Sus scrofa: one gene and its partner. The protein of the gene in region 2 purifies or fractionates together with the protein of the main gene of each other region. This does not show direct contact. Links are inferred from orthologs where the notes say so. Each region holds a gene or a part of one and is shown on either strand. Other genes may lie near its edges.

Region 1 (3,746 bases), on a different chromosome or scaffold from region 2:
CAGGTCACATCCCCAGTCCTGGGGTTTTCACGGCCTACCATTTAAACCGGTTTTTACATTTTTCAATGATTCAAAACAAACAAACAAACAAACAAAAAACCAAGAAGGGAGTCCCCCTGTGGCTCAATGCTGACAAAACTGACTAGCATCCATGTGGATGTGGGTTCAATCCCTGACTCTGCTCAGTGGATTAAGGGATCCGGAGTTGCTGTAAGCTGTGATGTAGGTCACAGACACAGCTCAGATCTGGCATTGCTGGGGCTATGGCATAGGCGGGCAGCTGAAGCTCCAATTCACCCCCTAGTCTGGGAGCTTCCAGATGCTGCAGGTGTGGCTCTAAAAAGCAGGAAAAAAAAAAATTTAATTAAAAAGAAAATGTCTGTGTCCATAAGTAAAGCTTTATTTGGAATACACTCAGGCTCGCTGCTTTACATACTATCTATAGCTACTTCTGCACTACAATGGCAGAGGTGAACCTGCAAAGCCTAAAATATTGACTATCTGGCCCTTTTTAGGAAACTTTGCCAATCTCTGGTCAAATACTTCATCCCCACTGCCACCCTACACTGGTTCGGGACAGTAAGAGTCTGAGCACTGGCTAGGACACTGATTCTGAGCAGGGATTTCCTGGGAAGTGACACCCAGGCCCCTTCCTAAATGTGCTTTACCCAGAGGATGGTTGATGAGGGAGGGCACAGTGGTGGCTGTGAGGGTCAGCTCCTTCTCTTCACTGCCTTCCACCGGACCCAGCAGGAAGCGAACACGCTGTTCAGGAGCAGGAGGCTTCCCAGCATTGAGACCTGAGCACACACATGTAAATAGCATCTCATCAATTCCGTGTGGACACCCAGGGGTGGGCGGGACAGGAAAACACGGGGATGCATAAGACAGTTCCAAGTCCACGGGTGCAGAGATCAGTAGCAATTAGGAACAAGAATTGGAGTCAAATATTGACTCTACTACTTATGACAACTAAAAATAGAGTCTGTTTACCCATCTGAACACCGGGGAAAGAGAGGAACAACAAACAGAGTGCATACGACAGACGATCAGGAAAAGGCAGCCGCCCAGGCGACGAGGTCACATGACTGACTTTACCCGCAAGGATCAGAAGCGGAAATAGACTCCGAGGGAAATGGGAAGGGGATCGTTAAGACTGGCTCGATGCACTCACCTTTCAAAAGCTGCAGCTCCACCGTATCCCGTAGATGCTTCCATTTTAGCCCCGGGGGCTTGTAGGCGGCAAAGAGCCCATGCAGCCGCGCCAGGCCGGCTGACCCCATCCCGGAGCCCGCGTCTGGGGCTCGCAGGACAGCGGCACCCGGCGGAAATGCCATATGGTCCCTCCCCAAATAGAGTCCTTCCAGAGGACGCTGCCATGTTTCGCAGCCGGAAGAGGTTCTCGTCTTTCTGTCCTCGGGGAAAACGTGCTGCGGTGAACAAAGTACGGTCCGACACTGAACCCCAAAGCCAGGCGGGCTTCCTTAGAGACACTTTGGGGGGCAAGGTGAAATGGGGAGAATTTTATATCCTTGGAATTAGATTGCCTGGGTTTCTTCATACTTAGAGATAGAGACCTTTCCTGTCCGTGCTCTTTCCCCCCTCCCGCAAAAAAAAACCCTACTCCGCGCCGTAGGAATCGAGCCCTTTTGACTTCTCCGGCGCGCCGTCGTCGGGGAAGTCTGGGGCATTGGCCTTGCCCTTCCCATCCTCCCGCGGACGTCCGACTGTACCCGCTGCCATGGCGACGCTGCTGCGCGGGGCCCTGCGCCCCCTCCGCGCCTTCCAAGGCCGCGGGCAGCCGGCTGCAGGCAAGTGGCGGGGGCTGGTCGGCGTGCTGGCGTCCCCCGGCTCTTTTGACCGCGCGGCCTTTTTCTTGCCTCGCAGATGTGCCCCTTCGTGCCACGAGCCATGGCACCGGCCTCCTCTACCCCGAACACATCCCCACTTCCCTGCTGCAGAAGGCGCTGTTGGCCGCGGGCTCTGCCGTAATGGCCCTCTACGACCCTTATCGCCACGGTAAGGCTGCCCGCGCCTGGCGTTCTCTTGGGAGGGCGGGGGAGGGGGGAGGCTCACCCTTGCCTTGGAAGTCCCGGGGAGGTCCCTGCCACTGTCAAAACCTCCGTTTCCTTTGGGTAACTGGAAACAAGACAAGGCCAGGGTACCCAGACCAAGCTGCACCTCACAGTCACTTGCAGTATTCATAAAATGCGGATGCCTGGATCCCACCCTAAAACTTACTCAATTCGAATCTTGTGGGAGTGGGGAAGGGAGGCAGGAAGGGGCGTGGAATCTGAGCCTCTGCCTTTTTAAACTGCTTCCCGGGAGATTCTGTCATCCAGCCACACTGAGGATCTCTGGGCTAGATGATTTATGCCCGTAAAAGTATAACGTCCCTTTAGAAATTAAACTTTATGAGGTCGGGAACCATAACTACCCTGCTCCACTGGAGTGGTAGCATTTTGGATAGGGCACGGGACATAATAAATGCTCCGTAAGTGCTTGCTAGACATTTGACTAGAACATTCTTGGATCCTACACTGCCTTTCTCATCCCCTCCAGGATTTCTAAGTCTGGAAAATTCTGTTACTCCTGCTAGTAAAAACAATAATGCTGGGAGTTCCCGTTGTGTCTCAGCGGTTAACGGCGGTAACGAATCTGACTAGGATCCATGAGGACGCAGGTTCGATCCCTGACCTTGCTCAGTGGGTTAAGGATCCCGCATTGCTGTGAGCTGTGGTGTAGGCCAGCAGCTGTGGCTCCAATTCAGCCCCTAGCCTGGGACCCTCCATATGCTGTGGGTATGGCCCTAAAAAAAAAAAAAAAAAAAAAAAAAAAATGGTAATTGCTCATTAAGCCCTTATTTTGGTTGCTCATTGCTCAGTGTTTTATATACGTGATGTTCTTGATTTTTCATATTGACCCTATAAGAAAGATGTTATCTGCACTTCCAAGTTAGGACACTGAGGGTCAAAAATGTGAAGCAGTTTGCACAAGGTCCTCTAGACAGTGATTGTAGCTGGGGTCGAACCTAGCACTCTGTGATACCAAAGTCGGCCCCTGTCCGTGGAGACATGATATTCTGTTGTAATGATGGATGTGAAAGTGATTCATAAATTTGTCAGAGCACTGTGCTCACCAGAGCCACCTCCCCCATCAGATGAATAACAGTCATAACTATATTGAGCTTTTACTGTGTGCCCAGCGCTTCACTACATGTTTAACTTGAATCTTTATAACTTAGAGGTAGATATTCTGTTTGCTCATGTAGGAAATTGAGGCTCAGACCAGGTCAGGCGATCCACCGAAGATCACATCCTCCACGTGTCCCCATTTCTTTCCTTTCAGACATGGTTGCAGTTCTAGGAGAGACCACAGGACGCCGAACCCTGAAGTTCCTCAGGGACCAGATGAAGAGGGATCCAGAGGGTGCCCAGATCCTGCAGTAGGTCCCAGCTCTGCCTGGGGGATTGAGGGCATTCTTTGGCGCTTCCCGTCTGTCTGGACTTGCATTGTGTTCCTCTGGGGAGCTCTTCTTGATACCCTGGCCGTGAGTGGTGGCCGTGGGCACTGCCCGAATCCATAGGCACCACTCACATAGACACTGTGTTGACCCTTGGGTGATGCAATACGATGGCCTCAGCCTAGTTCCAGCAACAGGGCTCTTGTGCCTTCACGGAGGTCTGTTAACACATACTGCCCGCCATCCCCTCCCTCAGTGCCTTTTGTGAATACCCTGATCCCAT
Region 2 (3,746 bases):
CAAGAGAAGGAAAATCTAAAAGAGATAGTTTGCTCTCAGCATTTGGGGTTAATATTTGGGAATGACTGTCATGGATCATAATGGGCTGCAAGAGCACCTACAGGCCACGAAATTCAAACATTGCTTCTATTTTTTCCTTTTCCTTTTTTTTTTTTTTTGTCTTTTTGCTATTTCTTGGGCCGCTCCTGCAGCATATGGAGGTTCCCAGGCTAGGGGTCGAATCGGAGCTGCAGCCACCGGCCTACGCCAGAGCCACAGCAACTCGGGATCCGAGCCGAGTCTGCAACCTACACCACAGCTCACGGCAACGCCGGATCGTTAACCCACTGAGCAAGGCCAGGGATTGAACCTGCAATCTCATGGTTCCTAGTCGGATTCGTTAACCACTGCGCCACGACGGAAACTCCTCCTTTTTCTTTTTTAAGCTGCACCTGCAGCATAGGGAAGTTCCCAGGCTAGAGGTCGAATTGGAGCTGTAGCCACTGGCCTACACCACAGCCACAGCAACACCAGATCCAAGACACGTCTGTGACCTACACCGCAGCTGACGACAATGCTGGATCCTTTAACCCCACTAATCGAGGCCAGGGACAGCATCCGCATCCTCATGGACACTAGTCGGGTTCTTAACCCACTGAGCCACAATGGGAACTCCACAGCTCATTTATTTTTAAACTTCATTTCTTTTTTTTTAACCTCCTCATTTTAGAGATGAGATCCAGAGAAGGGAGACAACCTCCTAACATCAGGGAGCAGGTCAGTAGCAGAGCCAGCACAGGAACCCAGGTGCTCAGACTCCCAAATCGCTCATGAGGGCGTCCTCCGTTGCATGCTAAACTCTAGTACTAAACCGGTGAGGACAATCTGCCGTTATGAAACCTTGAAGAAGGTGCTCCAGCTGGATCCTTGAAGGTGAGTAGGAATTTGCTAGGCATCTGCGGTGAGAGGAGGGCAGTGGGGAGGGCATTCGAGGCACTGTGTGCAACGTGAGGAAACCTGAAAAATCCCTGGGGTTTAGAAATTACAAGCAGAGCCCCCTGAGTTGGTCCGAAGGTTGTGGGTTATTGTTAAGCTGTTTAACAGGCAGAGCCACCTGACTTAAGGGGAGTGACGGGCTGAGGGGCAGAGGTGATGCTGTGGAAAACAGCAGGGATTGCAGCACTGACCCAGCGGCGGGAGAGCGGGAACAGAGGCAACACGGCCAGGTAAGAAATGACGAGGGACCGTGGGTAGGGGGCGAGCACTACGCTGGAGTCGTACAGAGTAGGCAACCCCTTAAATTTTACTCCTGCCGACTGCCAAAAAAGCAAAATGAAAGTGCCCACCAGAGCCAGCAGCGTGCTCCGCAAACGTGCGCTGTGCGGCAAGGAGAGTGAGTTCAGGCCGGCTGCGGGCTGCTGCAGCACCGCGAAAAGTTGCAAACTAAGTGGGCAGGGCCGGGAAGGGTTCCCCAGGTCGACTCACTCAGGATCGGGGACTAACAGGCTCCGCCCAGCCCTCTCGCCTCCTTGAGCCATTGGCTACCCTCAGCGTCTTTGCCTTCACCCATTCGTAAACGTGACCCTGGGTTCTTCCGCCGGGGCTTGGGGTCAAGGGTCACCAATATGGCAGCGCCCAGGAGCGGCTGAAACGTGAAGCGGAGGATGGCGCTGGTGGCGCTGGCGGCGAGGGCTCGGCTGGGGAACTGGCTGAGCGGGCGGGGGCTGGGGCTGGGGCTGCGGCTGGGGCGCGGGCACTGGACGGCGGCCGGGCGCTCTCGGAGTCGGCGCGAGGCGGCCGAGGCCGAGGCGGAGGCGCCGGTGTTCCAGTACGTGGGCGAGCGTGCGGCCCGCGCCGACCGCATCTTCGTGTGGGGCTTCAGCTTCTCGGGGGCGCTGGGCGTGCCCACCTTCGTGCTGCCCAGCTCTGGGCCCCATCCTCACGCCGGCTTGCGGCCGCGCCGCAGGATCCAGTGTGTACCTTACCGCCTGGAGCTGGACCAAAAGGTGCGCTCTGCAGCTCCCTCCCTTCCTCCGTTTCCTCCTCGGGTCTCCGCCGCCGTCTCTCGAGGCACTTGGCGACGGGTGGACGGACTTCGGGGAGAAAGATCCTCGACCGGGCTGCGGGCGGGGGGAGGCCCTAGGGCGCTGCCAAGTTGAGGGAGTGGCGAAATGTCCTAGGTGTTTTGTCTCTCATTTGCGCATCACCCCAGGAGTCGGGTTTGTGGCACAGTTATGGGCGAGGAAAGGGAGGCTCAGAGAGGTTGAGAGGAAGGTCCGTGGCCCCGCAGCTGGTTGAAGTTTGTATACTAGGATTCGCCCTCGGGCCAGGCTCCAGCAGAAGTTCTGATTTTAGGAAAGACGATTTTATGAGGTCGGAGAAAACGTGGCTGGCTGGAGTCGATGAACTACTTGGAAAGGAAACTAGAGCGCTTACAGGAATGAGGGGAAGGATGAAGGCCCCTGAGTTTACTCAGTTTTGAAAAGGTGATGCAAAGAATCGTTGCGGGACGGGAGTTTGTCTCGGCAGCCAGCACCCATTAGTGCAAAAATGGATGCTTAGGATAGATTCTTGCCTCGGGTGGTTGTGGACATCTTGATGGGTGGTGAAAAAGAAGCAAATTTGATCGGTTTGGCTTCTGACTTCTCTTTCAAGGATATCCAGTGATTTTTTAATGAAAAGGGTAGATCGAGAAAAACAGGGAATTTAAGCTCCAGATGATTGAAAAGTTGTTTTGATTTCTTCATTTTGAGTTGTAAGAGTTATTTATGTATTCTGGATTAGGTACCTTGTCATATATATATATATATATATTATATATATATATATATATAAGGTGGAAATATTTTCTGCCAATCTATGGATTTTCTTTTTCATTTCTTAATACTGCCCTTGGGAGAGCATAAGCTTTTAATTTTAATGAAATTCAGTTAAGTTTTTCTACTGTGAATCGTATATTTGGTATATCTGAGAAATCTTTGCCTAATCTAAGATTACAAAGATAATTTTCCTAAGGTATTGTCTAGGAACGTCATAGTTTTCGTTCTTATATTTAGGTTAACAAGCTAGTCATTCGAGTTGACTTTTGGGTGCTGTGGAAGTGAGAGTAGAATGTGGCTAGTATTATCATTAGTTGAAATTATTTCCTTACTGAATTGTCTTGGCACCTTTGTGAAAATCAGTATGACTGTAAATGTAAGGATTTATTCTGGAACTCTCAATTCTGATCCATTGATCTATATGTTTCTCATTATGCTAAAAGTACACTCTTGATTACTGTAGCTTTATAACTAGTTTTGAAATTGCGAAAGGTAAATTTTGGCTCTTCTGGGTGTTTTGCTTTTCCATATAAATTTTAGGACTAGCTTGTTAATTTCTGCGACAGTACCTACTGAGATTTTGATAGCGATTACATTGAATCTATACGTTGATTTGGACACAAATGCCATCTAAGCAATTTTGTGTCTTCTAATCTATGAACATGTAATGTCTCCCCATTTAATTAGGTTTTTAAGGAGTTCCTGTTGTGGCTTAGTGGTTAACAAATCTGACTAGGAACCATGAGGTTGCAGGTTCCATCCCTGGCCTTGCTCAGTGGGTTGAAAATCTGGCGTTGCTGTGAGCTGTGAGCTGTGGTATAGCTCGCAGATGTGGCTTGGATCCGTGGCTGTGGCTGTGGTGTAGGCCGGCGGCTACAGCTCCGACTAGACCCCTAGCCTGGGAACCTCTATATGCCGTGGGTTTGGCCCTAGAAAAGACAAAAAAAA

The links.
Region 1: the proteins of RCC1L (region 2) and TRUB2 purify together in Homo sapiens (affinity purification with mass spectrometry; 3 studies listed by BioGRID and IntAct, with this or other methods). This does not show direct contact. The link is inferred for Sus scrofa from reciprocal best matches to the Homo sapiens genes RCC1L and TRUB2.

What each region holds. Positions count from the first base shown.
Region 1 is NC_010443.5:268,755,232-268,758,977, forward strand, and holds the start of TRUB2 (probable tRNA pseudouridine synthase 2), read right to left. Parts: upstream 2,541-3,746; 5' UTR 2,206-2,540; coding exon 2,077-2,205; intron 2,020-2,076; coding exon of another isoform or gene 1,888-2,019; intron 1,812-1,887; coding exon of another isoform or gene 1,742-1,811; exon of another isoform or gene 1,431-1,741; coding exon 1,175-1,430; intron 1,105-1,174; exon of another isoform or gene 998-1,104; coding exon of another isoform or gene 994-997; intron 801-993; coding exon 669-800; intron 1-668. Other genes in the region: ubiquinone biosynthesis protein COQ4 homolog, mitochondrial, read left to right, coding at 1,742-1,811, 1,888-2,019, 3,349-3,445. UniProt on the Homo sapiens protein: Minor enzyme contributing to the isomerization of uridine to pseudouridine (pseudouridylation) of specific mitochondrial mRNAs (mt-mRNAs) such as COXI and COXIII mt-mRNAs.
Region 2 is NC_010445.4:11,913,957-11,917,702, forward strand, and holds the start of RCC1L (RCC1-like G exchanging factor-like protein), read left to right. Parts: upstream 1-1,583; 5' UTR 1,584-1,643; coding exon 1,644-1,985; intron 1,986-3,746. UniProt on the Homo sapiens protein: Guanine nucleotide exchange factor (GEF) for mitochondrial dynamin-related GTPase OPA1. Activates OPA1, by exchanging bound GDP for free GTP, and drives OPA1 and MFN1-dependent mitochondrial fusion. Plays an essential role in mitochondrial ribosome biogenesis.